Callithrix jacchus: one gene and its partners. The main gene of each other region encodes a partner of the protein of the gene in region 2 in a complex. Links are inferred from orthologs where the notes say so. Each region holds a gene or a part of one and is shown on either strand. Other genes may lie near its edges.

Region 1 (6,261 bases), on a different chromosome or scaffold from region 2:
CTACCAGGGAAGTCCTGCGCCCAGACATCCCCCAGTGGAGCTGGCTTCGTCTTAGCCCACTCACCTTTGGCAGCCTCAGTTCGCTTGGGCAGGTCCAGCGTGTCAAAGTTCCGGTCCATCTCACCATCTTTCTTTCCTAGAAAGGTGGCGGGCGGTGAGGCAGACCCCATAAGGTGCATGGGTGTGTCAGGAGGGGTGAATACAGTTCTCTCCTGCCCAGGCCCCAAAAAGCACCCCCACATCCGGGCCGGGGCACTAAGAGGCCCTGGGAGTAGAGCACTGCTGTCAGAGTCTGGGCTGACAGTTTAGCCCAGGGGAAGGAGTTGGTGGCAGTGGGGCCTGGAGTGTCCCAGCCCTGCCCCTAGGACTCATCTCCCACCTGCTGCTGGGAGCTGTCCCTCCCAGCAGTTCCACTGCAACTGCCAAGTGTGTAGACCGAGGAAGTCAGGAGCCCTGGCTGGATGGCAGGTGGATGTAAGCGGAGAAACTGAAGGCTGACCGGGACAGGACTTGCTTGGCTCACACAGTAAGGCAGAGCTGGGTAAACTCCCCCAGTCTGGGGTCAGGACATCATCCAGGCTCTACGAGCCAGGAGAAACTCCACAGTAGCCCACCTAACATCTGTGCAGCCACCTCCGTGACAGTGAGCCCTGTCTCAGCCACTCTCCCTGTCTCAGACGATGCTTCGACCCTTTCAGGAGGCAGCAGAGCAGAACCAGATGACCTGGGGTGCCTGCCTGCTCACCCTCACGGGACACTTGTATCCTCTGAGCCACATGCTGCCCCATTCTATCAGAGAAATAGACTCTGCTCCCAGGTGTCCCTAGACACAAGCACAGTGCGGGCCCTGCCCACTCTTGGCTCTGCCCAGGTACGAAAGTCTGAGGTTACAGAGTGAGACCCTTGGCCTCCCCACCTGCCACTGTCATAAAGATGTCTGTCCAAGTGACGAAGCCAGGGCTGGAGCAGGGCCCTGGGGCTGGAGTGTGCTCCCCTCTTCCCAGGTGCCCACTGCACATGCCAGGCCTGGAGAGCAGGATGAACAGGGACTCACCTTGGTGGAACCACTCCTCTGGGCAGCCGGAGAAAGCAGAGGAGAGAGGAGAGGAGCCTGAGTGGGCAGCACCCGTCACCCCCCGTGCCCTCCCAGAGGCCTCAGGTTCCCACTGCACACCCTGGACCAAGCAGGCAGCATGTGGAACTTCATCCCACCACTCTGGGCACTGAGCATCCACCAGTAAGACAAGAAAGGGGAGGCCTAGGTCAGCGGAACAGGCAGGCGGTACACAGGACCCCACAGCTGCTGGGGAGGTCCCGGGAACCTATACCCTGCCAGTGCAGTGAAGGTGTGCAGGGCACCTCGCCCAGGAAAATGGGCTGCTGCACAGGCTGGTGGTGGTCTATAGCCAGCATCAGCCATGGCTCCTCCCCAACTTGTGGGCCAGTGAAATAAATTCTCCCCAGGAGTGGAGAGATTGAGTCTGGGCACTGATGGGACCACCTGGTTTCCACTGTGTCCTCCCTGGGGGTCCCACAGTGCAGATGGGGAAGGCTGGAGCTGGGCCCCATCAACCATGTGACCCAAGGCTGTGCAGCCTCCTTAGCTCCCTGCTTCCCTGCCTGCCTGCTGGGGGCTGACCAGGTGTCCTCTGGCCTCCATGATGGGCTGCTGTGGGTATACAGAGAACCTTCAGCTAGGGTAGGAGTCGAGAGTGGTACCCCAGTCCACCCCACCCACCTTTGGCCTTCTTGCCACCAAAGCAGCTGGCATCATCCCGCCTTCGGCGCTGGGAGCCTACAGCACTGCCCAGGGGCCCAGGCTCGGCCTCCTGGTATCTGTCGGCCCCGGGCACCTCCTTGTGCACGTGGTAGGACAGATTCCGCATGATGCACACGCAGTTCTCCACCGACTGCAGGGAGAGGTGAGTGGCTGGGGCAGGGTACCCTCAGCACAGGGCCAGCCCTAAGGGAAGACTGGCCACAGCTGGTGTGCATTAAAGCATCGGGAGCAAAGGGACAGGGAGGCCTCAGTAGATGGGGGGGGGTGGCAAAAGGGTGATAACTGCCAGTGCCAGGGAGGGTCCACAGGAGGAAGCCCCTGCCGCATGGACCACCTTCCACCTACAACACTGTGCCCACTTCAGTGTGGCCACTGCAAAGCAGGCTATGCCCAGGGCGCCGCCTCAGACCCTCACACTCATTCTCCTGTGCTGCCCCCACAGCTCTGGCCTCCCAGGACCTGCGTGATGGTCTCTCCCGCCCTTGGCATGAGGCTGTGACTGTCCCCGCCCACCTTATTGTCCGTGTCCTTCCGGCCCACCGCTGACTGCAGGGCATGCAGGAGCGCGTCCACCAGCCCTTCACACTCCCGGAGTCGCCGCCGGGCCTCGGCACCATCGGAACTTACATTCCTGTGTGACCAAGAGCAGGCCAGGTGACCCCTGGCCACCAGAAACTCCCCATCCCCGCCCTGACCTCAGGAGCTTGTCTTCATTTGCAAAATAGGCCCTGCTGCTGCCCTCTCAGTCTACTGGGAAAGGACCCCGAAGCCCGGAGCTCAGTGAAGCGGGAGAAGCTAACTGCCCCCAGACCTCAGGAGGGGGCCCTGGCAGACAGCTGTCTTGGTTGGGGACAGCTGGGCAGGGGAAGACAGGGCTTCCTGTCATCTGGGGATGACCTGGCAAGGGACAGGTAGACTCAGACCTGAACCTGTGCAAGAGCAATTCTGGGTTCCTTACCACCCCAATGGCAGCTCTGGGCCCCACCTTGCCCCAAGGTAAAGAGCCTGAAGGGTTACAGGGGAACACCCTGACCGACAAGCAGGACTGTGGGGACCCAGGACACTGTGGGGTTGGCAGAGCCTCCCAGGGGTAAGAGGGGAAGGGCAGAGGTCACAGGTGGCTGGAATGAGCCTCCCAGGCAGATGAACAGGAAGGTCCCATCTCCCCCTCTGGCTGTCACATGATGGAAAGGTGGGTGGAAGCTGGGCAGGGCTAGGGTACCACAGAGACCCCTCCAGAGGGTGCCCCTGGGGAGACTGAGGCACCACTTGGGGGCGAGCACAGCCCCTCAGGCCCCACGTCTCATCCACAGGGCTTGTGCCACAGCTCTGAAGTTCCAAAGGTCCAGGCGGCTGGCCGCCATCTTCCATGCTATCTGGGACCATGAGGACGGGGCCTGGTGTGCATGTGGGCTTTAGCACTGGGTCTGCTCCACACCTCAGGCAGCCCGACGTGTTCTTGAAGACAGTTGTCCACTCAGCATCCCGTGGCTTGGAGTCCTCGTTGGGCTCACGCTCCCACCCTGAGTGGGGCACGATGACCTCGTGGGTCAGCGTCTGTAGGCCATGGTCAATGATGGCCATCTTCAGGGGCTCATAGGATGACAGGTTCCACAGTGTGCCTGTGGGGTGCGATCGGCCAAGTCCTGCTGACCACGTGCACTGCCTCCCACCTCCCCAGGTGGCCACGCTCAGGACCCGTCCCACTCTCCTCCTGTCCCAGCTCACACACAACGGGAGAAGTAACAAAAGCCGTGAGTGGTTCTGGGGGGCACACAGTACCGGCTTCCAGCCAGGAAGGTGCCCCAAAGGGGATGAAGTGCAGAAGAAGGCATGGCACTGCTGTTCCTTCCTACCCACTCCCTGCCACGTGGCAGGTGGCACGAACACTCTCAAGGCCACAGGGCCTCATGGAGACACGGTCAAGTGACCCCACCTGTCTCTAAGGTCCTACAAGGCGCAAGCTCCACCACTGTACTCTTGGGATGGGAACCAAGGAGGCGGGTCCCAGGGGAGTTTCTGTGGGGTCAGGAGGTGAGGGCATGCCTGGGGGGCCTAGTGTCAGCCTCCCCGCTATGGTAGAGACTGGGGAACGTGTCACAGTGTCTAGACCTGACGCCTGCCTCCCGGGGCAAGCGTCTCAGCAGCTGCACTCCTGCCAACCCGCACGCTTTCCCGGGCAGTCGCAGGCCAAGTGGCCTTGTTTCTCCCGGGCTGAACCCCGCACCCTTCGCTTCCCAGGGATGTGGGCACAGCCAGGTCCACTCACCAGTGACCAGTTCGCGGACCTCGTTGTCCCGGGCGGCCCGCAGCAGGCGCACCAGAGCAGGCACACCACCACAATCCCGGATGGCGGCTTTGTTGTCAGTGTCGCGGCCATAGGAGAGGTTGCGCAGTGCCCCACAGGCCCGGCGCCGCACCTCAGCCCGCGGGTGGTCCAGCAGTGCCACGAGCAGTGGCAGCCCCCGCAGCTGCCGTACACGCCGCTTGATTCCCTCGTTCTCAAAGCACAGGTGCTGCAGGTAGGCAGCCGCATTGGCCTTCACGGGGTCCACGGGGTGCCTCAGCATGGCCAGCACCTCAGGCAGCTCCGGGTCCCGCCAGCGTGGCTCCTTGCGGGCGCTATCCACCGACGGTGAGCGCCGTACCAGCCGATCCAGGCTGCCCAGGCTGCCCCGTTCAGGCTGGGCCAGGGGCGCTGTCACTGCTGAGAACGCAGGCCGCTCACCCAGCAGTTCACTGCCATCATCTGCAGCATCCTCGTAGGCCCTGCACAGGCGAGTGGGGCACATGGGACATCGTCACAGCAGCCACCAGCCCTGCCTCTGAGCTGCCCCATCACACCTTCTTCAGGACTGCAAACTCACCCAGCAGGGCTGGGCTGGGAGCACAGTATCTCAGCCCCAAACATGGCTGGGGCATGGAGAGTCATGCACCAGCCCAGTGAGAACTAATTTAGAGCCAAATGCCAAACCCCAGCCAGCAGCTATCAGTCCCCTGGCAACCCTCCCAGGACAGCAAGCTCGCTTACTGCTGTCACCAGGCGGTGTTCCCCGATCCCGAGCAAAACATGTCTCTGTGCAACATCTGCTAGGGCTGCTGGAGAGCCCACCTCCCGTCCACGAAACCACCCATCTTCCATGAAGCCCGTCTCTGCCTGTGCCAGCATGCAGGGGGAGTAAATGACCCTCTCCGCATGAAGCCATCCCAGTAGGACCACCGAGGAGCATTCATCCGGCCACCAGACCCTTTGGGCACAAGATCTCCATAGCTCTCAGTAGCCCTGTGGGTTGCTGTCATCAAACCCACTGGCCCGAGGCGAGGAGTGGCCAGGTGACTTGGCCAAGCTCGCAGAGCAAAATCCAGACTTGGGTTGTGGTCATGTCTCCACTCCAGAGAAACAGAAACTGAGGGCAGTGGAGACAGAACCAGGGTCTGTGACAGGAAGGGCCAGGGCGGGCCAGGGCTCTGGGTTCTGGTTATCCAGGGTATGGCTGCAGCAAGGCCAGTGGCCGGCACTCTTCCCAGCTTTTCTTGGGCCCTGGGCCTGCAGGACGGTGCCCAGCCGAACTCCTACCACCCCAGGGCCTACCTTTCTTCTGTCTCTGACAAAAGCCAAGGACAACTCAAACTAACATGCATGACTAACTCAACTGCAGCCACTTGACAAGTGGAGCACCCTGTAGCTGGGGGATGGAGGGTGGACTTCCCAGAGGAGGCAGCCACAGGGGACAGGGTGCAGCTCACCTGGTGTGAAGGCCCCGCCCACACTCAGGCCTCCTCCTCGTGGCTGTGCCATAGTCAGGCTCTAGCTCAGGGCCGCCCTCATCATCAGCGGCCAGGCTGCGCGTGTCATCCTCCAAGCCATATGGCTCTGCCTGGAAGCGCTCGGGCAGGGAGCGGCCACCTGGTGGCCCAGACTCAGGACCCACAGGGAAGGCCTCCCGGTGGCCAGGCAGTGTGAAGCAGCCATCGCCAGGGCCTGGGCCAAGCGGGCCAGCACGTGGGGGCCGCATGCCCAGCCCTCGGGACAGGCTGCCATAGCTGGGGCCGTCCCGGGGCTCGGGGCCTTCGGGAAAGCTGCCCCCACTGGTGAGGTAGGCTCGAGAAAGTGTGGCCACTGGGCCACCACCACGCAGCAGGAAATGCCGGTCCAGGGCACCATCGGCAAAAGGGCCTAGTGGGGGGCCGCCATCCAGCAGGGGGAGTCCGTCCGGGCCCAGGGGCACCTGGCGGACCGTCCGAGTGGTCACCGTCTTGACAGTCTTGGTGACCTGGTGGATGGACAGGCAGATGGGTGGGGCAACCCGAGAGGCCTGGAAACTGCCCTGCTGGGGCCTGGCTCGCCACAATTTCCCACTCGAGCAATGAGAGGCCCCAGGTGGCAAGCTTCCATGTCCACTCTGCAGGCAGGACAGCTGCTGTGGCCTGGCCTGCTCTCCCACCCACCGCCTGGGCCAGGCCATACCTTGGTCTCGGTG
Region 2 (5,807 bases):
GCCGGTCCGGATGGTTGTTTAGTAGCTTGCCGTTCTTCGCCTCGCGCCCCTCCCATCACACTCTCAATTGGTATTTCTTTCCTCGTAAGCACCAGTAATGGTTATTCCCACCTATTTATAACGGCCATAGCCACTTATGTCAGCTTTACCTTCCTTCCCCAGTTTGGCAATCCAGAAAATTAAAGTATTTCCGTTACCCAAATCATCTAGATATATCTCAATCTGAAAGCAGTTCACCTTGAGGCATATACAAATGGCGATTTGGGAATTTACATCAAATTTGGCAAGTTCAACAGTTTTAGTGCTCCACTGTGGTTTTTCAAACCCAAGCCGTAACTCTTAAGCAAATACCGCCCCCTGGGGGCCTAGGCCTAACCCGAGCCGTGGTCTTGATGCTTAAGCACCCAGGCTGCAGTGGGGCTTTGGGACAGGGGTAGTGGTAATCACTTTATTGCAGTGGCTTCCCAAAGGCAGTCCCCAGGCAGCAGCATCCGCCTCACCTGGAAATGCACGATTAATAAACCAAGTGGCCCAAACACTGGTGATGCACAGAAAACCACTAACGTATCTGCGATTTCTTCCAGGGGCTCCTTGTACGGGGTCATCAAAACAACGAGACTTGTGACTGTTTTTTAAAAGACCCATGATTACATCACAGGTTTCTGACTTTACAATTTCTATTTAAATAGGGAAGAACTGCCCAGAAAGAGGAAAAGTTGTATACCCAGACTAAGGAAGAAATCTGATTTTAAAAGCCCATTATTTCTTATACAAGTTTCACTTAGCTCCAGAAACCTTTAAAGACAGAGGTACAGGAGAAAGGAACAACCTCTATTTCACTGGACTCCCAAACTACCATTTGATTATGAGTGGGTAACAGCTTAGCAATTGACTTAATATAACTTGGGAGTAAAGTTTTGTATCATTAGCAAAGTGCCGTACCAGGTTCAGGAAACAGTTCTTTACAAGTGTGTACAAGGGTTTAAAAAGAGGCAAGCTAGAAAGTGAAACAGTACTGCTGGAAAGCAAATATAGTAAATAACTGCAAAGCTAGGTACTACTGCCAGGTGTTTTCCACTTTCAGGAACTCACACCAGGTAAGAGGCCTATACGCAAATAAATAAGAGAGAGAATGGGGAGAAAAATCACATTTATTAGTTAAGACAACCACAGGCTGGACACAACACACATGCTAAAAAGTGGACTGTCTTTTAAAACTTCAAAGGTAAATAGGTAAATGTTTTCCACAGTCCCACAATCATTTCAGTAAGTGTTTACAAATTAAAAGGCCCACGGTTAGACATTAAACAGTAAAATATGTAATAAATGCTCCAACCTACCCACCTCCCACAAAAGCTGTTTCTAAGTTTAAAACCATGAATTTGACTAACCATGCCACTGAAAACCATCCAGGTTACTAGAGGCTGAATTAGTTTTCAATGTTTAAGTTCTAGAAATACTCCCCATCCCAGCCCTAGCAAAATCTAACTTTACATTTAACATAAGGCATTAACAACAATTAAAGCCTCAGTTCAATAATCAGAATTTAAATGAAGTCTCCTTGAGACCTCTCTTCTGGCAAAAGACACATTATGTCAGACTCTGGGAAAACATTCAGACCCATTTCTAGCTATTACTGAAATACATGATCAGAAAGTTAGGTTGGTGAGCCAAAGTTAAATCTAAAGCTATCTCCTGGGTCTAGCAATAAACCCATGTTGAATCTAACATGAAAACTTGTATTCACTGTGCTTTTGGTTATGTTGCCTCCTGATTAGCCATTAATTTTAATGAGGTTTGTTCCTTGTGTTAGAGTATGAATAGACCTTACAGTTTGAAGATCTCTAGAATTCCCTGAATTATTGGAAAGACATTCATGACTCCCAGTGTGACTAAAGTGAAAAGAGCCCCAGGGAGCCTGTGAAAACTATAATCTACAAGTAACCTGCACTAAGGACATTGGGCAAATTCAATCAAGGAGACTCAGGCTTAGCTCTTGGTCATCTTAAAGGACTAACGTCTTTCCCAGGTTCATTCAACATTTCAATAATTCACAGTATAGCCAAGAGCATGAATATAAATCTCGTGAAAAAGCCAGTTATTTGGAGCTTTTTAAATTATAAATTTGCAAAACAAAGTCACCCACCTTCTCACATTATACAGATGACTTTGTATCTATTCTTCTATTTTCTCATTTAACCATACTAGCAAATAAGGAAGCAGGCTATTAAATAACTCCTCTGATGTTGGGAGCTAACAAACCTTTTATCCAATATTAAAAATTCACCTAAATCAATTCATTTTGACTCCAGAAATATGAATAGCTCATTGTAAAGAAGGGCCTTCTGATTCCCCGCCGCCTCCCAAATTAAATAAAAAAAGAGCCGTCATTCGTTTTCATGATTAAAAAAAAATCATCTAAGCAAAGTTTACATGACATATGTAAAATAAAGTACAATTTCCACTTAATTCAGTCTTCAAATATTTTTTATTGGAAGGCCATGCATTGCCTTCATTTATTGTATTTCAAATCACTGTACATTTACTTTTGTGAAAACACTGCCTGCATTTTCTAGTACAAAAAAAACCTAAAAATTGTTTCAGGAATGTAGAGAAATATCCAACTTAAATAGCGAAAAAGTGCACCATAATTACTGCTGCACTGCAGTCATTTCTGCAATTCTCATGTTTCTTAAATAACTATCATCTTGTCTGATAACACACAATATAAAGAGCAATTATGAAAAACAGACATTTACATATACTTCTAAAGTCTTATTGAGAATATCCTGTTGGCATTGGATAACCAATCATAGGTGCAGCTGCAGTAGCAGGATATGCATATGCCTGTTGATTCATACCATTGTGCATATTTGGAACATTACTTCCGTATTGCTGAGTGCTATCATAACCATTCTGGTAAGTCCCTGTTGGATTACCAGTCCTAAAACTGGTCTGTATACCAGCAGACACAAAATTACTTCCAAAGCTCCCATTGGTGTAATTTGCAGCACTGTAAACACCATTCTGAGTTTTTGCCCCAAAATCTCTCTTAAGCAGGCTAGAGTAACCTCTGTCATAATTTTCCCTGTCTCTAAAGGTATTAAATCCACCCCTTTTGCCCGCAGAGTATCTGTCCCGACGGTCATCCTTCATGCCTCCTCTACCCCTGGAACGACCTGTCAAGAAAACAATTGCAAATTGATCAATTATGTCTATGACACAAGTCAGTGCGGACAGAAAGAATTTTATCTATTCATTGTAGGTTTGAAATGTGTTTTACAAGTTTTCACATTCAAGGTTTTACTCACCCTCCAATACCATTTAAATGGATTTGTAGACAATGATGTGACTCATAACTACCAACATTTCCTATCAGTCATCCTTACCTGAACCTCTGTCTTCGACCAACTGAAGCAACTTGGGATTAATTGCTTGATTAGCTTCACGAAGCACAGAGATAAGGTCGCTCACTTGCTTTATGTTATTAGGTGTAAAGAAAGTGTATGCTGTGCCTGTTTTGGTACTGCGAGCAGTTCTTCCAATTCGATGAATATAATCCTCTGAGGAGTTAGGGTAGTCATAATTGATGACAAATTTCACATCTTCCACATCTGTAAGGTGTTGCAGTGTGGCAAAATAGCAATGTACGGAGTTTTGCACACCACAACAGCCAGACCAAAAATAAAAAGTTAGACAATTGTATTCCCAAGAAGGTACGGGCTGCAAAAAATACAGTTAAAATGGTTATCCATTCCCTGTAGGAATACCATTTGAGATTGAAAAAAGAAAAAAAAAAAGCACATGTCATCTGTGTTAAGTCTTCACCCACCCAATGACAGACCCTGTCAAAAGGAATGTGTATCCCTAGCACATTCCCAAATCAGCAAGTTCCCTTACAGATCATCAAGTGACATCTGAATGCTTCTGCGCAGTAGGGCCACTTAAAGTTTCACAGCAACCTCTTCATGTGCTCATTTTGAGGACCTTGAAACAAAAAAATGTACAAGGTCCTTTGCATTACACATTTATCAGAAGTTCAAAATTCTCTGGCCACACTGCTTGTCTTGCCAAGACCTTACAACCGCAGCTGCAAGAAAACATACCTGTCCCCCAAAAGTTGTTTTTATGCACTGTGTCTCGTCTAGGCAAGCGCTTCCAAGAAGCCAGGATTCACTTGAGAATGTGTCTCTCTCTGGCAGGTCTCGACATGACGACTACTGTGTAGGTGAGGGAGGAACTTTCAAAGCACTTTCTTTTCCCACTGACTTAAGTGTGAGAAGTTGCTCCTGCTCTACATCTCATGTGCCAGTACTCACCAATTTGTAAAAGGCTTTAGTACCTTTTAAAGCTGCTCTCTCCATTTCAAACTTGAACAAAAATTTCATTGAACATTGAAGTTTGGAAATATTTCTTCGACATTTCAGCAAACTCACTGAAACTCAAAGACCCACAGATCACAGTGAACAGTTTGAAACAATGCTGTACCATGGCAGTCATGCAAAGCATGGGACAGAAGAAATACCACGGCAGTGAACTGTGAGGATAACTTCCTTATTTTCCCTCGGAGAGAACAGTTTACGGGGCAGAGGTGGTATGTTCTGCCTTTTGAAGATTACTGGCACACGTTCAGCTTTTCACCTCTCTAATCGACTGGAAGCAGCCAGCCGATCACTAGTCCTCCATCCCCCTCGAGTCCTCCGATTGTCATGCCTAGGCCTTGCCACAAAGACTGCACCTTTATGTGAAAAAAAACTTAAGAAAAAATGCAGAGGTTAAAGAAAGCAATAAACTTTCTTTAAAAAAGTTAAATGGAGATCTTCTGGGAAACCAAGCCATGAATGCGAGTTTGTACTAACCTAGCCCTCTGGAGGCCACATCTGTAGCAATCAGAATAGGAGCTTTTCCATGTTTGAATTCTACAAAAAGGAAGGCATACAAATGATCAATTATCTGAGCAGAATTCTAGCTAGATTAAGGAGGGGCAAAAGCTTCATTTGAAATATTTACCATTTAGAACCCAGTCACGCTCTTGTTGACTCTTGTCACCATGGATACCCATGGCAGGCCACCTAAGTTAAAAGACAAGTTGTATTATTAAACTCACATTGAAAAACCTCAAGACTCAACTGCTTAATCACTTTATTCACAGATCCCTTTAATTCCACAAGTAACACATACATCATTTTACCCATACTATCAGATAGGAAACTTAAATCAACTGTTCCTGATCCAAGTTCGCCCTTTCCTAAGCTCAGTTCTAATAAATCTGCTTCAATGCAGGAGCCCACACATACCCATCTCTCCTCATTTTTCTGGTAAGCTCATCACATCTTCTTTTGGTCTCAACAAAAACAATGGTTTTATTCTCCTTCTCACTCATGATCTCTTCCATTAGACGAATAAGTCTAGTAAGAGAGAAAAAGGAAAATCCTTTGTTTCTTTTTTTTTTTTTTAAACCGACCCACCGCCAGAAAACCCTGAGTTTTAAAAGACCATCACTATGGCCACACATTTACAGTCAGCAAAACATTAGGTTTAATTTTACATGGCTAGAAGTCAAAGAAACACTTGCTAAGCCACTCACTTATCAATCAGTTTGACCCTTGGTCCTTAAGTCAACCAGGGGACACACGAATTTCTTCCATAGGAATGCTATAAATGATTACAGCCAATTATTTGAAAGATTCAAGAGATTTTCAAAAGAATTAATATGCTAACACTAAATGAAGTAGAACACACCAACTGAAATAACCTAACTCAACATCAATGATCTCTCAATTTTACAGCAAACTTGTTAGCAAACA
Region 3 (6,939 bases), about 19 Mb from region 2:
ACAAAGTTGAGAAGCTTATCTTTCAGATGCTAGACCCACCCCCCACCATCATTTACATTACATATACAAACGCCTTATTCCCCTTTTGCCTTCCCCTGAAGACTTTTACAATTAACAATAAAAGATAGCTAATACCATTAGATTGCCTTTTAAGAACTTTTAATTTGCTAACATATAAACACAAGAGTCAAAATCTTACTTAACAATTTAAAGATTAACTGACAGACCCAGTTAGAATCTTACATGAAGAGGAAAAAGGACAACCATGCATAGTTTTTTAAAAAATGTTTATTTTTTCAAAGAAAAATGGCAATAGCCAATTGGAAACCTACTTATTCTTCAACTCCAATTTTGTTTTCTTTAAATTTAGAAGTGACTTACTGATTTACTATTTTAAACAAACCCCCCCCTTTTCCCCTTTAAATGTTTACCATCTACTCGTGCTGAATCCTTCCAAGGAGATTGCTCCAGCGTTTATCTCCAGGTCCTCGCTTTGCTCCTTTTACCAAAAAATGCAAAACACAATTCCATCGTGCATCTTAAGGGCTCCAATCGTCAAAAATAGGAAAAAAAAAAATCTTTGGAATAGCCAATTAAGTTGAATAAAAAAATCCACACGAATGCGGTTTGGTTGGGGCAGGAATCCACTCCTATGTTCCTGGTAATCTGATCCCGCTCCATGAATCCTGGTAATTCATCCTCCCTATCCTATCCACATTATGATTTGAATCCAATGATCCAGCTCCAAGGATTGGGATCCAGTGAGCCCTCTCCAATCCAAACCTTTATAACCAGCAAAACCAAAAAAGAGGAGGCAAAACGTTAGATACTGTAATCAAAAAAGGTTTCTGGGGAATGATGAGTTATGTCAGTCATCAGTTTAACAGATGCACATCAATAACTATCAAATTCCCCAAAACAAGTTTCTGAATGGTGTTCAGATAAATTTTAGAAACTTAATCATCATAGAGACTAACTGGAAGAAGCATCTTATATTTACAGTTCAACTGATAATGCCAACACTTGTTACTGTACAGTGTATTACAGGTTTCGTGGTTGCAAGAAGTTATGTAATTTAAGTTTACTGGCATTGCTACCCACCTAATCTAAAACTAAATCTAATGCTCCCATTTGCAATTTAATTTGTAAATTAAAGTGTTTTAAACATATGAATCAATTATGAATATTAAAGGGGAAGGTGAGACCTAAGTATTCCCAACTAGATTATCTACACCAATACATTGGAACTCTATTATTTTGCTTTCATTTTGTCTTAAAAAAATGAAATAGCAACGCTCTATCAGTCACACAGAGGACATGCAGATTTAGCAGTATTGATATTATACTCTATCTTGTTGGATTTAAAGACACCCTCTACCCACATGTACACCAACAGCAGGTCACACATTAACAGTTGTAACTAAGCACTGCGACAAATTAGCCAGTTCTTCCCACATTAGTCCCTATTATAACAAAAATGGGGGGAAGGGAGCAAAATAAGTTGCTACAAAATGGGCAACATAATTTTGCCACAATTGCCAAGGTTTAAAAGGTAAAGCAATTGTAGCTAAAGGTAACTGAATAAAACATTCAAGTGTTTTAAGGAAAATGTATATAATCATTTTTACCCCCCTGCCTTTTAGTATAAGGTCAATACTGCCAATTTCATCTGTGACAATAGCACTTGGAGTCATACCATTGCCTCCATTATTGATCTGATCCTCCTCAATCCTCCTTTTGACAATCCTAAAATGATTGAAATGTGCTCCACAATCCTTAATCCAAAGCATTCTTAATCCATCTCTTCAGATATGTCTACAGAAAGACACATGAAAAGCAAGATAAACATAAGAACTTCCCCAGGTAAGATAACCATAAACATCCCCAACATCCCAGTTCACACAAATCAGGGCAAAATAGACATTTACACAATATCACAGTCTGAAGAGTATGGAGTTAACTAAATTTAAACAATCCTGTCTATGACATCACTTAAAATACAATTTATCGAAGACACGAGGGGAATGTAGATGTTAGGAGCAAAGGGATATTACAAGAATGCAATTCAACACTTTAGCCCATTCTGAACAAAACAGTTTGAATTAAAAAATGAAAAGATTGTACTGAATAAAGGAAAACTGTATACAACATGGGTTCTACAAAAAGTGTCACCAATCATCTTATGTACGAGAGCGAGATCTGCTATGACGGGGAGAATAGCGTGGTGATCCTCTGCTTCTCCTTGGGGAGTAACTGCGACTCCTGCTGTTGCTTCTGCTACGGCTTCTGCTACGACTACGGCTTCGAGATCGAGATCTTCCATAACTTGGACTTCTGGGCCCATCAACTTTAACCCGGATGTAGGCAGTTTCTCCCTATTGGATAGACAGAACTTTCCATTGAAAGATCTAAGCTTTCACCTAGCTTCAGGCATGCTGAATGAATACAATGTAACTAAAACCAGAAATCTGGCAATTTACTTGGACACCCTTGCCTGAATCCTTACCTTCAAATTCCACTGTTAAGACCACTGTATCCAATTCTGGTCAAAAAAAAGAATAAGCATATAACCTACCTCATGGGATCTAAACTTAGTGTTATCCAGTTTTCGAACTGCATAGGTCATATCTTCTTTCCGTACAAACTCCACGACACCAGTGCCATCTCGGTAAACATCAGCATAACATACATCACCTGCTTCACGCATGTGATCCTTTAAATCCTGCCAACTTCCACTTGGAGGCAGTCCTGAAAAAGCGATTTTTTTTCTTAGTATCAATTATCTTAAATTTCACGTTAAGCTGATAAGGTACATTAGGACAAAGAGTACTTTAAAATACTTAATAGTTGTACTTAAGTGATACCAGGTAAAGAGCTGGTAAGATTCTGGAATCCAGAGTCCAAAATTATTTGTAACGGATCTTCGTATCTAGTACCGCAACCTAATTTGGTAAATCACCACAGCAGCAATCCTCGTTTATTAAATTCACCCAAAAACTAAAGCAATTTAAGACCTAGCATGAAAAATTTGCAATTGTTAAACCGGTCACGCAAGAGAAAATTTTTAAGTAGTTTCCGTCCCTTCACATCAACCACACAACCGGTAGACTTACCAGAGACAACCACTCTGTTTTCAGACCGCCTGGATGGGGGGCCATAGCGACCTCGGGGAGCTCCGCCACCTCCACCCCCGCCGCCTCCTCGGCCTGTTCCACGGCCGCTTCGAGGAAACTCCACCCGCAGACGATATCCATCGTAATCATAGCCGTCGCGACCATACACCGCGTCTTCCGCGTCCCTGCGGGATCGTAGACAGTAAAAGGCATGAGAAAGACCAGGAGGAGAAGATCGCTCAGTCGGGAACCAGCGAACCCCCCGCACATGCGCACCCAACGTGGAAGAGCCCACATGCGCCGCATAATGGGAATGACCCCTCCCCCACCCAGAAACACGCCAGGCTCCCAGCCACTACACCAGCCCTCAGCGCCTCAGTTTCCCGCTCCAGCCTGCGAATGGGCTCCGGGGACGTCCAAGGCGAGGCGCCAGAGAAGCCACACCAACTCAGCTCCTCACTCGACTCCTGCATGGGCGATACAGTCTCGCCCCATCCTCTCTAAGAGCCCCCGCCTTCCCGTTCTCTATATTAAGGCCTTGGAGTCTTCCCCGACCACTCGGACCTATTTCCTCAAGGCTGCAAGCCCCATGCCGCCTCACCGCGGGTCCTCGAACTCAACGAAGGCGAAGGGCGGTCCCCCGCGGCGATTCTTGAGATCGATGTCGCGGATAGCGCCGTATTTGTAGAACACGTCCTCAATGTCCTTGGTTCGGATGTCTGGAGGTAAGTTACCCACGTAAATGCGGCAATCGTTGTTCCCTGCGGGGCCACGAATCACACCACCTCCCGACATGGCGGCGACGAAAAACGTGGACTCGAGAACGGGCCTTCCCACCAAGCCTAGCGCACGGCAGAGCAAGCCCGCAGCGGCACCACGTCTCCCGCGGCCCCTCCAAAATGGCGCCTTTATCAGTTCGGCGCACGGATATGGGGGGGGGGGGAGACAGAGGAAGAGAAGCGGAAGGAAACAGCGATTCGATCCCAACACGCACGCGCTGCGAAGACTACGTTCAACGTACGCGCGCGCACGCACGCGCGACGTCACCCTCCGCACGAAGGGGGAAAAAAAGTCCCCCGCGTTCCCGGCTTGGGGTGGTTTGCGAATAGAGTGGCCGTTTGGTAAAAGTTAAATAAAGAACTCTCTCTAAAGGAGCTAGTCTTCCAGGTCGGGTCTTGAAGGACAGTCAGTTTCCCCAGGAATGAGGATCTCTGAAAGCAACTCGGCGCCTTGAAAGGACTTGGTGAAACCTAGCCTAGAGCCTTGTCCCACCATGCTCTGCGGCGATAACGGCCTTTGGCGGGAAGGAGTCTCGGGGGCGGGGCCAAAGGGGGAGGGACCGGGCGGTTGCTCCGGAAACCCAGGCATCCTTGTAGAGTGCGTCTAGTTCAGAGCTGAGGTGCCATTGGAGAGCTGGGGCGTTGGTTTGTCTTCCCTCTCCTCCTGCGAACAGGGCGTGGCTCCTTAGACAATGAGATTTGTCTAATTTAGCAAAACCGATTTCGATTCCTAAATAAATCCTCTTCACTAAGTACCGTTCCACCTTCTGGTCAGAACTTTGCATAGCTTAGTTCAGCACTCCTTGTGCTTAGTCGCGGTGGGTAGGTCGTACTAGCTATCCGGAAGGGGTGAAAACACCGTACCGCCTCTGGGACCCACACCTCTGTATCTCTTGTTAGTCGCCTATCCGTGGGACTGGCGCAAAAGATTTGCAAATTTGTTTCCGTTGTTTCCTTTCAAATAAAGAGAAGGAAGAAGGGGTGCGTGTGTGCAGTTTTCCCTAAAAGTTACTGATATACCAGGTTTTGAAACTACCAGTCCTCTCAGGTAATAAAATGGAGCGAAATGGATGTGAGAACCGTAACCACTAGAGACCGCGGTTGCTACTCAGGACTGTGATCTACTTGCCTGCAGTCTTGGGAGATAATATTTTACATTTTTTTCCGACGTCTAAAATCTAGATTTTTTATGTTAAATCCAGGGATTTTTAAGGTAATGAATTCAAATTAAAATCAGGCTGGGCGTGGTAGCTCACGCCAGCACTTTGATGGGCGGGTCACATTGAGGTCAGTAGTTCAAGACCAGCTTGGCCAACATGGTGAAAACCAATCGCGGTGGCTCACGCCTGTAATCCCAGCACTTTGGGAGGCCGAGGCGGGTGGATCACGAGGTCAAGAGATCGAGACCATCCTAGTCAACATGGTGAAACCCCGTCTCTACTAAAAAATACAAAAAATGAGCTGGGCATGGTGGCACGTGCCTGTAATCCTACCTACTCGGGAGGCTGAGGCAGGAGAATTGCCTGAACCCAGGAGGCAGAGGTTGCAGTGAGCCGAGATCGCGCCATTGCACTCCAGCCTGGGTAACAATAGAGAAACTCCGTCTCAAAAAATAAATAAATAAATAAATAAAAATAAAAAGCCAGGTGTGGTGGCGGGCGCTTGTAATCCCAGCAGTTTGGGAGGCTGAGGCAGGCCGACAGATCACAAGGTCAGGAGTTTTGAGGCCAACCTGGCCAATATGGTGAAAGCCTGTCTCTACTAAAAATATAAAAATTAGCTGGGCATGGTGGCGTGCGCCTGTAGTCCCAGCTACTCAGGAGGCTGAGGCAGGAGAATCGCTTGAACCCGGAGAGCAGAGGTTGCCGTGAGCCGGGATCGAGCCACTGTACTCCAGCATGGGCGACAGAGTGAAACTCCGTCTCAAAAAAAAGAAAAAGAAAAAAAATCAAATTGAAATAAGCAGGAATGCTTGGTCTTGTGTCTGTGGACCCTCAATATATGCACAGATGACGTTCGGTAGTCGAACTTTCTGTAATATTTTCCAAAGTTTTATGCATGTGTACATCTACAAAAATATATGCATGTGTGTACTTTTTTCTAGGAAGAGGATTTGAAATTTTAATCAAATTCTTAAAGGAGTCCATAGATCCCAAAAGGGAAAAGAACTATATGTGTGTGTGTGTGTGTGTGTGTGTATATATATATATATATATATATATATATATATATGTATGTATGTATTTTTTTTTTGAGTCACCCAGGGTGGAGTGCAATGATGTGATCTCAGCTCCCTGCAACCTCTGCTTCCCTGGCTCAAGCCATTCTTGTGCCTCAGCCTTCCAAGTAGTTAGAATTACAGACATGTGCCACCATGTCCAGCTAATTTTTGTATTTTTAGAAGAAACAGGGTTTTGCCATGTTGGCCAGGCTGGTCTCGAACTCCTGGCCTCAAGTGATCCACCAGCCTCAGCCTCCCAAAGTGGTGGGATTACAGGCATGAGCCCCTGAACCCAGCCAATTTTTTTTTTTTTTTTAGACAGGGACTTGCTCTGTCATTCAGGCTGGAATGCAGTGGTACAATCACAGCTCACTTCAGCCTCAACCTCCTGGACCCAAGCCATCTTCCCACCTCAATCTTCTAAGTAGCTGGGACTACAGCTACAAAAAATGCAAAATCACTACAGAAAATACAAAAATCAGTCTGAAGCGGTGGTACGTACCTGTAACTTTAGTAGAGTACGTACCTGTACCACCGCTTCAGACTGATTTTTGTATTTTTTATGGTGATGGCGTCTTGCCATGTTACCTAGGCTGCTCTCGAACTCCTGAAGTCATGTGATCCTCCTGTCTTAGCCTCCCAAAAGGGAGGGAACTACAGGTGTGAGCCACTGTGCCTGGCCAGAGCCTGAATTTTTTTTTTTTTTTTTTTTTTGATGAGGACCAAAAGAGATACTATTTCAACAAATTTAATGTTTCTAGCATTGTTCCATTAAGTGAATGGCAGAAAAGAGGAGAGTTCTAAAAAACTTGCAGCCTTTTGATTC
Region 4 (6,225 bases), on a different chromosome or scaffold from region 2:
CCTGGATAGTGTTAGATTTGCATGTTGGAGCACAAGTGGTGGTGTGTACACGCATGTGCACACCAGCTGTACTGCTGTCCCTTTGCATACCTCTATTGCTGACCACTGACCTTCTCCAGGTTCTCTCATTTGCTCCTCAGAGACCTTCTGAGTTTTCTTATCCAGCGAAGTAAGCCAACATCTAAGACCACAGGAGCCGTCTATTGTTTCCTGAGATTTGGTGCCATCTAGTGGCTAACTTGAGAATCTTTGCCCAGATCCAGAGAAACTTCTAGAAAATTAACTGAGTAGCCTGGAAAGGCAAAAAACACCTACTTGTTTACCCTCCAAGAAAGGCTTCCTGAAGGACAAGGACTGACTCAACACGATAGGAGTCAAAATGGATTTCTTGCTCTCCTGAGAGCTGTGATAAAAATTAGAAGTCAGCAAAGAATCTCAAATCATGTCCCACTGCACCTTTGGCTTGAATGAGTTTTTGGAATTGATTTTCATTTCCTGAATGAAACGGAGTCGGGTAATACCAACTTGGTATTTGCCTCCCATCTCATTTCTCTGGCCCTCAAGCCGTAAACAGCCCACATAGAGCAATCCAGTTCCCAAGTGGTCAAATCTACAAAGAGATCTGTAGTTCAAGGTACAGCTGGTACTGATCAGAGGGACATCAGGACCTGAAGGTCACTGAGGTGTGGAATTGTTAATAACCACTGTGGTTCAGACAGAAATCTAAGATATCAGCATGATACCACGGGTTCTCAGAATCCTGGGAGGTCTGAGGCATTGTAAATACGTGATTGAGACTTTAATAGAAAATTTAAACTACTTGTTACAGGAACAAAGGGGAGGAAATCAGGGATCATAAAGGAAGCTGCTCCTTAAAGTTGCTGTTTGGGGAACTGTGATGGGTCTCAAAACATGGTCTTGAGACCAGCAGCATCAGCACATTCTCAAGCAACATCCCAAAACTACTGAACTGGAAACTCTAGGGATGCAGCCTATAAATGAATGTTTAAGTAAGCCCTGCAGATGATTCTGATGCACATGAAACTTTGAGAACCACTGGTTTAAGATAAGCTTTAGATGCCCTAAAAAACACCTGGGAGTGTTTAGAGACTCTACTAATAAATTCATGGAAGAGATAATTTATTGCCATAACATAAGCCTGCTTCATTTTTATGTTTTGTTTTCAACACATAATAATTGTAAGCCTACTTCTTTTTTAACATACAAAGGTGCCTTCTAGTTTGTGGTGAAATAAAAAGGATTATTTATTTGCTTTCACTTCTTTGGATTTTAGAGAATACTATATTGGTAAGAACAGTCTCCAAAAGTAGTTCAACAGTCCTGTAGACATGGTAATAAGTTTTTTTTAAAGAAAATGTTCAACTTTAATATTAATCAAAGAAATACAAATTAAAATAGCAAAGATATCATTTCTCAACTAACAAACTGGCAAAGATCAAAAAAACTAACGTACATCAATAAGGAGGGTATGAGGGGGAAAAATAAAACACACAGTCCTCTAGGTAGAAAGATAAAGTACCAGAATCTTTCTGGTAACACAAATCACAAGCCTTAAAAATGGGTATATCCTTGACTCAGCAATCCCATTTCTAGGGATGTATCTTAGAAATAACTAATGATATATGCAACAATGAACATATAAAGATGTAAATATAATTTTTAAATTAAAATTTTTAAGAGGGAATTATAAAATCAGTGTGCCCATATGACAGAACATAATAAAAATCAGAGCAAGATTTTTTCCAGTTTTTAAAAGGAAGATTTATTTAACAAGTTTCACTTAGTACAATACATCTAAATGGAAATCACAATACAAGGAAAGATTTAAACCAAAGCCTCAGAATCTCATACAAACGACACGACCAAACTTCTAAAGTATTGGTATTACATCTTAAAATTGTCCCGTATCCTTTAAAAAAAAAAAAAGTAAAAGTGTACACTCACGTGCCTTACAGAGTATTAAACCAAAAAGCTAGAATTAACAAACATGCCAAATGTTTTCACTTTGAATCGTAGACACAGCTCCTATATTTGAGTTTTACAGAAAAGCATGTTTCTCAACATGCATCCAAAGTTTTCAATGTATTTGTGGTATAAGAGCAACATTTAACATAAGTGAAACTGCATTAACCTAAATAAGCTTACTGCTTAAGTACACTCCTACAACATAACTAACTTGAGAAAAGCTAAAAATCGTTTAAACAGTTATGGTCAATACTGAACTTTGTTATTATGTCCTAGATGAATGTTTCAGTGTTCAAAATTACTGAACTTGAAGTTTCAAAATAATCTCAACTCCCACTTTACAGTAAGCATGAATCACAAGCCTGTAATGCAAAACTGTTAAACTTAACTTTTGTTTTCTTAAAAAAGGAGAAAGATAAAGAAAGAGAAGCTGACCAAGAGTGATCAGTATCAATAATATTTCCCATATGCCAATCATACTGGATATACTAGACATCCCTCCCATTCTATTCAACTCCCATAAATGTACAGCTTTTATATCTAGAGTAGCTGTTTAGTGCTCCTTCTCTACCTAAGCAAGGTTTGACTGATAGTCACTGGAGTTTTCCTGGAGAACTTGGTCATATCCACTCATACTGCTCTGACCACCATAACCACCTCCATAACCACCACTCAGCTGCTGGCTAGCAGGACCGCCATAACTAGACTGGTTGGATAAGCCCATCCCTCCCATCATTTGGCTACCATAAGCGCCACCACTTGCCCCTGCTGTAGAATTCAAAAACAGTTCTACATAGCTGTGATCATAAGCCCCTCCACTTGTTCCTGCAGTAGAATTTAGGAAGAGCTCCACATATCTGTGTTGCATATTAGCCTTGTCTTTTGCCATAGCTGCCACAGCATCTTCATGAGTAGCAAATTCAACATCTGCCTCACCAGTAACTCTGCCATCGGGTCCAATTTCAATATGTACTCTCATGGGATTAAGAGGTGAGAAGAAATTATAAATATCATTCTCAGTGGCTCTGTAAGGTAACCCCCTCATGTGTACACAGTGCCCTGTGGTGCTCTGGAAACTGGACCCACCATCTCCATATCTATGATCAGACATTCCTGAAAAACAGTAATTGAGGTCTCTTCCAAATCTATCTGACCCAAAGCCATATCCATCATTATAGCCACCATAGTCATCATAGCCTCCATACCCTCCACCATAGGCACCACGCCTCATCCTTTCAAACCCAGCTCCTCTGCCAATGCTATTATACCCTCTGCCAGCCCCTGGCCTATCATAGGGACCTGGCCGCTGCATAGCCATGAGCTTTCGAGGGGGATCATAGTGGGTTCGAACTTCAGCTCGGCTACTCTTGAAGATCTCAATGTACCTGTGCCCTATTCTTTCCTTGTGTTTCTTTAAGGCCTTCTCAGCTATCTCCTGCGAAGCAAACTGCACAAAGGCTTCCCCTGTGCTTCGCCCCTGAAAGTCCACTGGCAGTGTCATCCCATTTGGCACAATTTCCAACCCTGAAAAGAACTGAACGATCTCTTCCTTGCTACAGCCAAATGGGAGTCCTCTAAGCCGGACGAAGCCATCGTTGGCAGTATCAGGGCTATTCGGACCTGTATGCTTCAACACCCAATCCATTTCAACACTGTTAGACTTGAATACTTCAACGTATCTGTGTCCCATGGTTTCTCTGTCCTTCTTCAAAGCCAATTTCACTTCCTCTTCAGATTCAAGTTCAACAAATGCTTCGCCACTTGGTCTTCCTTCTCTGGTGTAGATGAAACGAATACCTGATGTGCCATTTTGGATCTTGCAATCAGAGAAGAAGCGCATCACTTCATCAGCTGAGCAGGACCAGGGTAGGCCCCTGACCTTCACCACGAACCCCTCCCTGCCTTCTGTGCTCAGCATCATGGTGACTGTTGGGCTCTTGGTGGCAAGTTTGGCTCAACACAATTTTGGTGTAGCTGGAAAAAAAAAATTAGAAGACTACTGTCATGGAAAAATGCTAATACAGTAAAAGAGAAAAGCAAACTATTAATAGAAAACTCAATTATGCTGACAGCTTTGCTGTAAGACATCTGTATAAACAAAAAAGAATTCACCAAATTTTTAACTCATTCATTTTTTAACAGTTATTTATTCAATGCCTATTACGTGTTGGATACCATTAAAAATTAACAGCAATTGGCCAGGCACCGTGGCTCACATCTGTAATCCCAGCACTTTGGGAGGCCGAGGCAGGTGGATCACCTGAGGTCAGTAGTTTGAGACCAGCCTAGTCAATGTGGTGAAACCTCATCTCTACTAAAGATACAATTAGCTGGGCATAGTGGTGGGCACCTGTAATCCCGGCTACTCAGGAGGCTGAGGCAGGAAAATTGCTTGTACCCAGGAGGCAGAGGTTGCAGTGAGCCAAGATCACACCACTGCGCTCCAGCCTAGGCAACCAGGGCAAAATCCCATCTCAAAAAAAAAAAAAAAAATTAACAGCAACAAATAAATGGGAGATGTCAACAAATAAAAGATGGCTATATCTGAATATATAAACATAAAAAACTTCACTAGATCAAAAGATTAAACAATAATTAAAACACAAAACACAAGTTATATAAGTTCTTTATATAATATCCTTATATAAAAATGTAGGCAAATCAATAAAATCAGGGATATATTTAGGCTTCAGAGATAAATGAAAAAAAGACATTATTGGGAATTCACACATTCATTTTAGAAACATCTTGTAGTTGCCAAGTCCAATACTCGGCTCTAGCATACAAGAATCAATAAGCCCACAAAGGGCTTATGGTCCTACAGGGGGATTGTATGTAATTATTAAAGACATAAATGCAAATAGACATTATAATTGCCATGACCCTCTGGGTGAGGTGTAAGCACAGTATTAAGGAGGGAGCAGTTGATCAGTTCTATTGTTTGGAGGCCAAATGGTTAAATGAAACAGACTAACCTGTCTAGGGATCCATAAACAAAATTTTTTATATTATGATGAAGCACAATCAGGAGAGGGAAAAGCAAGAGAAAAGGCTGGCAAGGCATAGATCAGATCCCAAAGACTTTCATATACAAACACTAAACACCTTTTAAGACTTTTAAACTGGGGAGTATGTGGGGTGACTTCACCAAAACCCTTTCAGGCAGATCACCCTGGCAACAGTGTGGCACTAAAACAGAAGGGGGTTGAGGTGAAACTACTGAGATTAATTAGTTAGAACTCGTCTCTTTCAATGCAAAAGGTCTCAAAAAAAAAACTAGTCTCTTAAAGATATGTTAAAGGAATTGTCTAAGCAACAGGAGTAAAATGGAGAAAAGATATGATCCACACATACTGAAAAAAAGTGGAATCTGTGGGACTTGATAACAGATTAAGTATGGGAGAATATAGGTATAGGAGGATACAGGAGAGTTATCTGGAAATATTCAAATTTCATCAATTTCCAGCAAGTTAAAACCAGAACTAATCCTTATTTTTCACCCATCAAGATAATGGAAATTAAACAGTGACCGTAAATCAGTGCTACCCAGGGTTCACAAACTAATACACTACTAGAGGAGTTACAATTGATATAAACTATTTCCTTTTTGATAAATCCCACTATATTCTGAAAGCAATTTGATAATATGTATGACACCTTTTGACAGCAAATACATTTCAGTTATGTGCCCTAAGGAGATGATATGAAACTCAGACAAAGATTTATGGAGCAATATATTCTATGAAAAGTACTTTATTAAAAAAAACTGGAATATCACATATTTTAAAAGTTACAAAAATATTTAATAACATGAGAAATTACTTATGGTATAACTGTAAGTGACCCAAGAGCACAGCTGCTTTACAATCTCAACTATGTAAAAAATACATGTTTCCATAGCCTTTGACATGGCTAGAATCCTTCCAGGAATCTAGTCAACAGAAATACTTACAAATGTTCCTTGCAGCACTGTTAGTAATGGGGAAAAATGGGGAACCTAAATAGCCATCATTAGAGGAATGGCTGAATGAATTATACTTTATCCTTAAAACAATGCAATGTAGCCATTAAAAAAAAAAAAAAACTATCTGCCCTGACCCAGAAAGATCTCCAAAATATATTAAAGAATATACATAGTATGATTCTACTTATATTAAAAGATTAGCATGCATATATATGTAAATAAATAAAAGATGATGTGGGAGCAAACTCGTTTTTGAGAACAGTGGAGGATAGGGG
Region 5 (4,051 bases), on a different chromosome or scaffold from region 2:
GTGAATGATCTTTACTCCTTATCTGAGGGCAGATTCACAAGGATTCCCCCAAGATTCACTTTTAGGAGCCATTCTCATCCCAGCAGTAAGAAGCTTCCAGGTAGGATAGAAAGAAGACCCAGTTTCACGCCTCTGTTCCTTTGGATGGGGAACTGAGGGAAAATATCTGTTGTATCACTGAAATGTTTTGTTTTTATACATGTCTGAATAAAAATGCCAAAGTTTTTTTCAGCTTCCTGTCTGTCAAATGAAAACATTTCATATGTTAGATAGATCTCCTCAGCAGAGGACAGTCACCTTTCTGTCTTCTGACAATGCTACTCCGTCCCATGCAGCTTTCTCTAGTCCTATTATTACTTGTATTTCTTTAGAACAAGCATAGCTTATAGTCCTTTGGGGTTTTAGTAGGAATCTACAAAGCAAAAACAATTGAGAATAACAAAAACAAATAACCCACGTGCTTGGGGACTTATAAAAAGCACTATATACGTGTCCGGTCTCCTTCAGAGGCCAAATACTGAAACCTCTACGTGTTTCTGAATTCATTCTTAGAAAAGTCACCAAATCTTTTTATTTTGTTTTTTCACAGTAAGCGCTCTCAACAAACATCTGTCTTTCTGAACACTTCCCTTAAGTGCTCCATCCAGCCTGTTATTGGAACAATGTCATGTTACTTCTTTAAGGAGTCCAGCCTCTAGATTGGGAGGCCTTTAAATGGATGATCCCTCCGGATTCTGGCTGCCCAGTTAGCCCCTGCTCCCAGCACCCTAGGTCTTCTTCCATCTGTCTGCCTCTCCCTATTCTCCCAGCTTCGCAGGACTACTGGACCGGCTGGGCGGGTTTCGCCAGCCGATCGAGGGATCCAAGGAAGGGCGCACCCCGCTTCCCCGCCCTAGGTGTAGACACTGCCCACCCGCCCCGGCTCCACCCTTGCCTCTAAACCTATTTCCCCGCCGTAGCTCCGCCCCTCTCCCCTCGGCCCGCCCCTCTCTGTTACGGGCTCTCGCTCAGAGTTCTCGGTGGAAGTGGTTTTTCCGGGAGAGACCACGCTTCCCCGCAAGCTCCCCAACGGCTCCGCCTTCCCGCCGGAGCCTGACCCTTCCCAGCGTGCCCGGCAATTCCGGCGTGCGAGGCCCTTGGAGGGCAAGGCCCCTGGGCCTGGCTTAGGAGGGCGAGAGGCAGGCTGGGAATTGTAGTTCTCAAGCCCCCGAGGGCGGCTAGAGGCTGGCGGTGAAGAGGACTAGTTGTCCCAGCGTGCCCTGCGCCTCAGCCCGCGCGCTCGCAGCTTCTCGCTCTCGCCAGCTTGCCCGCTCCCTTGCTTGCTCGCGCTTTCGCTCGCCCTCTCCTCGAGGATCTAGGGGACTCTGACCACAGCCTGAGGCTGGGAACGGGGACAGAGGCGGCGGCTCAGGGGAAACCAGGCTGCAGTGGTGGTGGTAGGAAGATGTCGGGCGAGGACGAGCAGCAGGAGCAAACTATCGCCGAGGACCTGGTCGTGACCAAGTATAAGATGGGGGGCGACATCGCCAACCGTGAGTGCGGCCTCAGGGGTCGGGGAATCAAAGCTGACAGGGAAAGGTGCCAGGCTGGCCCCAAAGGGGCTGGAGAGGAGGGGTCATGCGGAGTGAGCTACCGAGGGGTCCGCACCGGTTCTCTGGGGGCGGCGTGGTGGAAAGACCGGGTGTAGCGCCTGGGACCTGAGTGGCCAGGCCCAGGCTGAAGTCTGTGGACGTGTGGGCCGGCGACTGGGATGAGCGCAGAGAGGGACCCCTGGCAGGCTCCGACCCGAGGCCGTTTGTTAGGAGGCAAGACAGGTTTTCTCCTGTTCCAATCCTTCAGTCCCGATTTCTGCTTCATCTGATTCTGGCAGCGGCGAGGCCACCTCGAAAAGGAAGCGCCCAGCTATTGGCGACAGAAGCCCCCCTCTTGTTTTGTCGATTCTCTGGGGCTTCAGGAGCCGAGCCTCTCGCACGTGTTGCTGGGTCCCCTTGCGGATGGCTGGCCCCCTTCTTCCTCCACTACTGTCCCTGACACCAGCTTCCTTGCCACGTGCTTTGCTGGAGCCTTTCCTTTACTTCAGCTCTTACCCTGGTGGGGGCCCCCTTCTACCCTTGGACCAGCTAAGGGATCCGTTGGAGGGCACTCCGGGAGCTTCTAACCAAAGTCTTGGAGATATATATGGCTTTTCTTGAAGTTACTCATTACTACCACCTTTCCAATCTGTGCAGATAGCCTTAGTTAGCATTCACATTTGTTGTTCTCAGTGACTTGACAACTCAAATGTTTTGGAGTCCCCGTCTTATCCCAACTAGGCAAGCTTGCAAACAGTACTGGAAAAGAGAGGACTGATTTTAGGATTGTCACAAGTCATCTTTATTCAAGCTGTGCTCTGACGATCTCAGCAGTAGCCTGTCACTGTAGGCAGATGTCACTTTCTCTTTTCTCTCTTTCCAATTCGCCTTTCCATTTTACTTAAAACTCAGGGAGATAGAAACTGCTTGTCCGTGGGCTTTTAAATGTTTTTTGGGGTGTGTGTGTGTGTGTGGTTTTTTGGTTTTTGTTGTTGTTGTTTTTTGAGACAGAGTTTCACTCTTGTTGCCCAGGCTGGAGTGCAATGGCGCAGTCTTGGCTCACTGCAACCTCCGCCTCCTGGGTTCAAGCGATTCTCCTGCCTTAGCCTCACAACAGCTGGGATTACTGGAGCATGTCCTTATGCCTAGCTTGTTTTTTGTATTTTTAGTGGAGACCGGGTTTCACCATGTTGGCCAGGCCGGTCTTGAACTCCTGACCTCAGGTATCCGCACACGTTGGCCTCCCAAAGTGCCTGGACTGCAGGTGTGAGCCACTGTGCCCAGCTTTTAAATGGTTTTAACAGCAAAGATGGTGGGGAAGCGGTATTTAGGATGCCTCCGGTCCTGTGGGTGAAAATCTGAGTTTTTACCAGCTTTCAAAGAATCACCAAAACTGAGATTTCAAAAATCAAACCTGTGCACAGTGGACATTTAGTATAGTACCCTGGTTTTTGGTGCCTGTTAGTATTTGAGATAGTAGTTTGAATCAGAAAGTCTCTTTTTTGCAGTTTATAACTTCAGGCCATTGTGATCTCAGATATAAATTTTGTAAATTTGGCCTCACATCTCTTTGAGATAAGCCATGATCCCCTGAAATGAAACCCAGGGACCTTAGGTTAAGCCCCTTTGGCTTATACTCTTGTTTATGAGGAAATAAGTCTACATAGGTTGAGATTCCTAACACCTAATTAGAATGTCTGAGAAAGGAAGGCGGTAACATTTAATAATGCATCAGCTTCGAGTCTGCAATTCTGTCTACCTTCTTGTTGTCCCTGATGCCTATAAATTTCATCTTGTCTTTGCGTGTATGTGGGCATACCTTGGCAAGAACCCTCTAAAGTTCATAACTCTGTCCTGTCACACCAAAGGTAGCATCTTTGGAAAGTCCAAGGCCTTGCCTAGGAAGATGGATTGTATATACCCACTTGTAACGTAATAAGGAAGGGAAGGGAATGTTGTCCTTTCAGCCTCGGGGCAGTAGCACTAGAGAGTATTACAGACTCCTAAGTCCAGCTTCCAGGTATTCCTTGGGTGGTAACTAGACAATAAATACATACAAGGCTGACATGATGGCATTCTGTCCTCAGGGGTACTTCGGTCCTTGGTGGAAGCATCTAGCTCAGGTGTGTCGGTACTGAGCCTGTGTGAGAAAGGTGATGCCATGATTATGGAAGAAACAGGGAAAATCTTCAAAAAAGAAAAGGAAATGAAGAAAGGTAAAAAAAAAAAAAAAAACCTCACTAATTTCCCATTTGACCCTTATTTAGTTCTATATGTTTTATTTTTTTCATTGTAATGATGCAGTCTCCACTCCAGCTCTGGTTGAGATATTTGAAAATTTGGAATGGCAAATGGGATACAAGCAGTTTTCTTCCTAATCCAAACTGATCAAAGCTTAAGCAAGTCCCTGAAAATATCCTTACACTTTTCTGAAGGGCAACAGGGCTCCCAGGAGAAAGCAAGGCAGTAGGCTGATGATT

Evidence for each region.
Region 1: DDX5 (region 2) and ARVCF share a complex: the UniProt entries of both Homo sapiens proteins name them as parts of the ribonucleoprotein complex. The link is inferred for Callithrix jacchus from reciprocal best matches to the Homo sapiens genes DDX5 and ARVCF.
Region 3: DDX5 (region 2) and SRSF1 share a complex: the UniProt entries of both Homo sapiens proteins name them as parts of the ribonucleoprotein complex. The link is inferred for Callithrix jacchus from reciprocal best matches to the Homo sapiens genes DDX5 and SRSF1.
Region 4: DDX5 (region 2) and HNRNPH2 share a complex: the UniProt entries of both Homo sapiens proteins name them as parts of the ribonucleoprotein complex. The link is inferred for Callithrix jacchus from reciprocal best matches to the Homo sapiens genes DDX5 and HNRNPH2.
Region 5: DDX5 (region 2) and PA2G4 share a complex: the UniProt entries of both Homo sapiens proteins name them as parts of the ribonucleoprotein complex. The link is inferred for Callithrix jacchus from reciprocal best matches to the Homo sapiens genes DDX5 and PA2G4.

Annotation. Positions count from the first base shown.
Region 1 is NC_133502.1:211,747,899-211,754,159, forward strand, and holds part of ARVCF (splicing regulator ARVCF), read right to left. Parts: coding exon 6,249-6,261; intron 6,055-6,248; coding exon 5,528-6,054; intron 4,550-5,527; coding exon 4,050-4,549; intron 3,403-4,049; coding exon 3,219-3,402; intron 2,412-3,218; coding exon 2,294-2,411; intron 1,911-2,293; coding exon 1,739-1,910; intron 1,073-1,738; coding exon 1,055-1,072; intron 137-1,054; coding exon 65-136; intron 1-64. UniProt on the Homo sapiens protein: Contributes to the regulation of alternative splicing of pre-mRNAs.
Region 2 is NC_133506.1:89,759,704-89,765,510, forward strand, and holds the end of DDX5 (putative ATP-dependent RNA helicase DDX5), read right to left. Parts: intron 5,409-5,807; coding exon 5,298-5,408; intron 5,073-5,297; coding exon 5,011-5,072; intron 4,920-5,010; coding exon 4,860-4,919; intron 3,615-4,859; coding exon 3,390-3,614; intron 3,180-3,389; coding exon 2,776-3,179; 3' UTR 1,134-2,775; downstream 1-1,133. UniProt on the Homo sapiens protein: Involved in the alternative regulation of pre-mRNA splicing; its RNA helicase activity is necessary for increasing tau exon 10 inclusion and occurs in a RBM4-dependent manner. Binds to the tau pre-mRNA in the stem-loop region downstream of exon 10.
Region 3 is NC_133506.1:108,327,853-108,334,791, reverse strand, and holds the start of SRSF1 (serine/arginine-rich splicing factor 1), read right to left. Parts: upstream 4,032-6,939; 5' UTR 3,909-4,031; coding exon 3,715-3,908; exon of another isoform or gene 3,299-3,714; coding exon 3,114-3,298; exon of another isoform or gene 2,749-3,113; coding exon 2,576-2,748; exon of another isoform or gene 2,376-2,575; coding exon 2,189-2,375; exon of another isoform or gene 1,816-2,188; coding exon 1,793-1,815; coding exon of another isoform or gene 1,777-1,792; 3' UTR 1-1,776. UniProt on the Homo sapiens protein: Plays a role in preventing exon skipping, ensuring the accuracy of splicing and regulating alternative splicing.
Region 4 is NC_133524.1:97,711,277-97,717,501, reverse strand, and holds the end of HNRNPH2 (heterogeneous nuclear ribonucleoprotein H2), read right to left. Parts: intron 3,961-6,225; 5' UTR 3,908-3,960; coding exon 2,558-3,907; 3' UTR 1,758-2,557; downstream 1-1,757. UniProt on the Homo sapiens protein: This protein is a component of the heterogeneous nuclear ribonucleoprotein (hnRNP) complexes which provide the substrate for the processing events that pre-mRNAs undergo before becoming functional, translatable mRNAs in the cytoplasm. Binds poly(RG).
Region 5 is NC_133510.1:63,563,934-63,567,984, reverse strand, and holds the start of PA2G4 (proliferation-associated protein 2G4), read left to right. Parts: upstream 1-1,251; 5' UTR 1,252-1,444; coding exon 1,445-1,532; intron 1,533-3,658; coding exon 3,659-3,787; intron 3,788-4,051. UniProt on the Homo sapiens protein: May play a role in a ERBB3-regulated signal transduction pathway. Seems be involved in growth regulation. Acts a corepressor of the androgen receptor (AR) and is regulated by the ERBB3 ligand neuregulin-1/heregulin (HRG).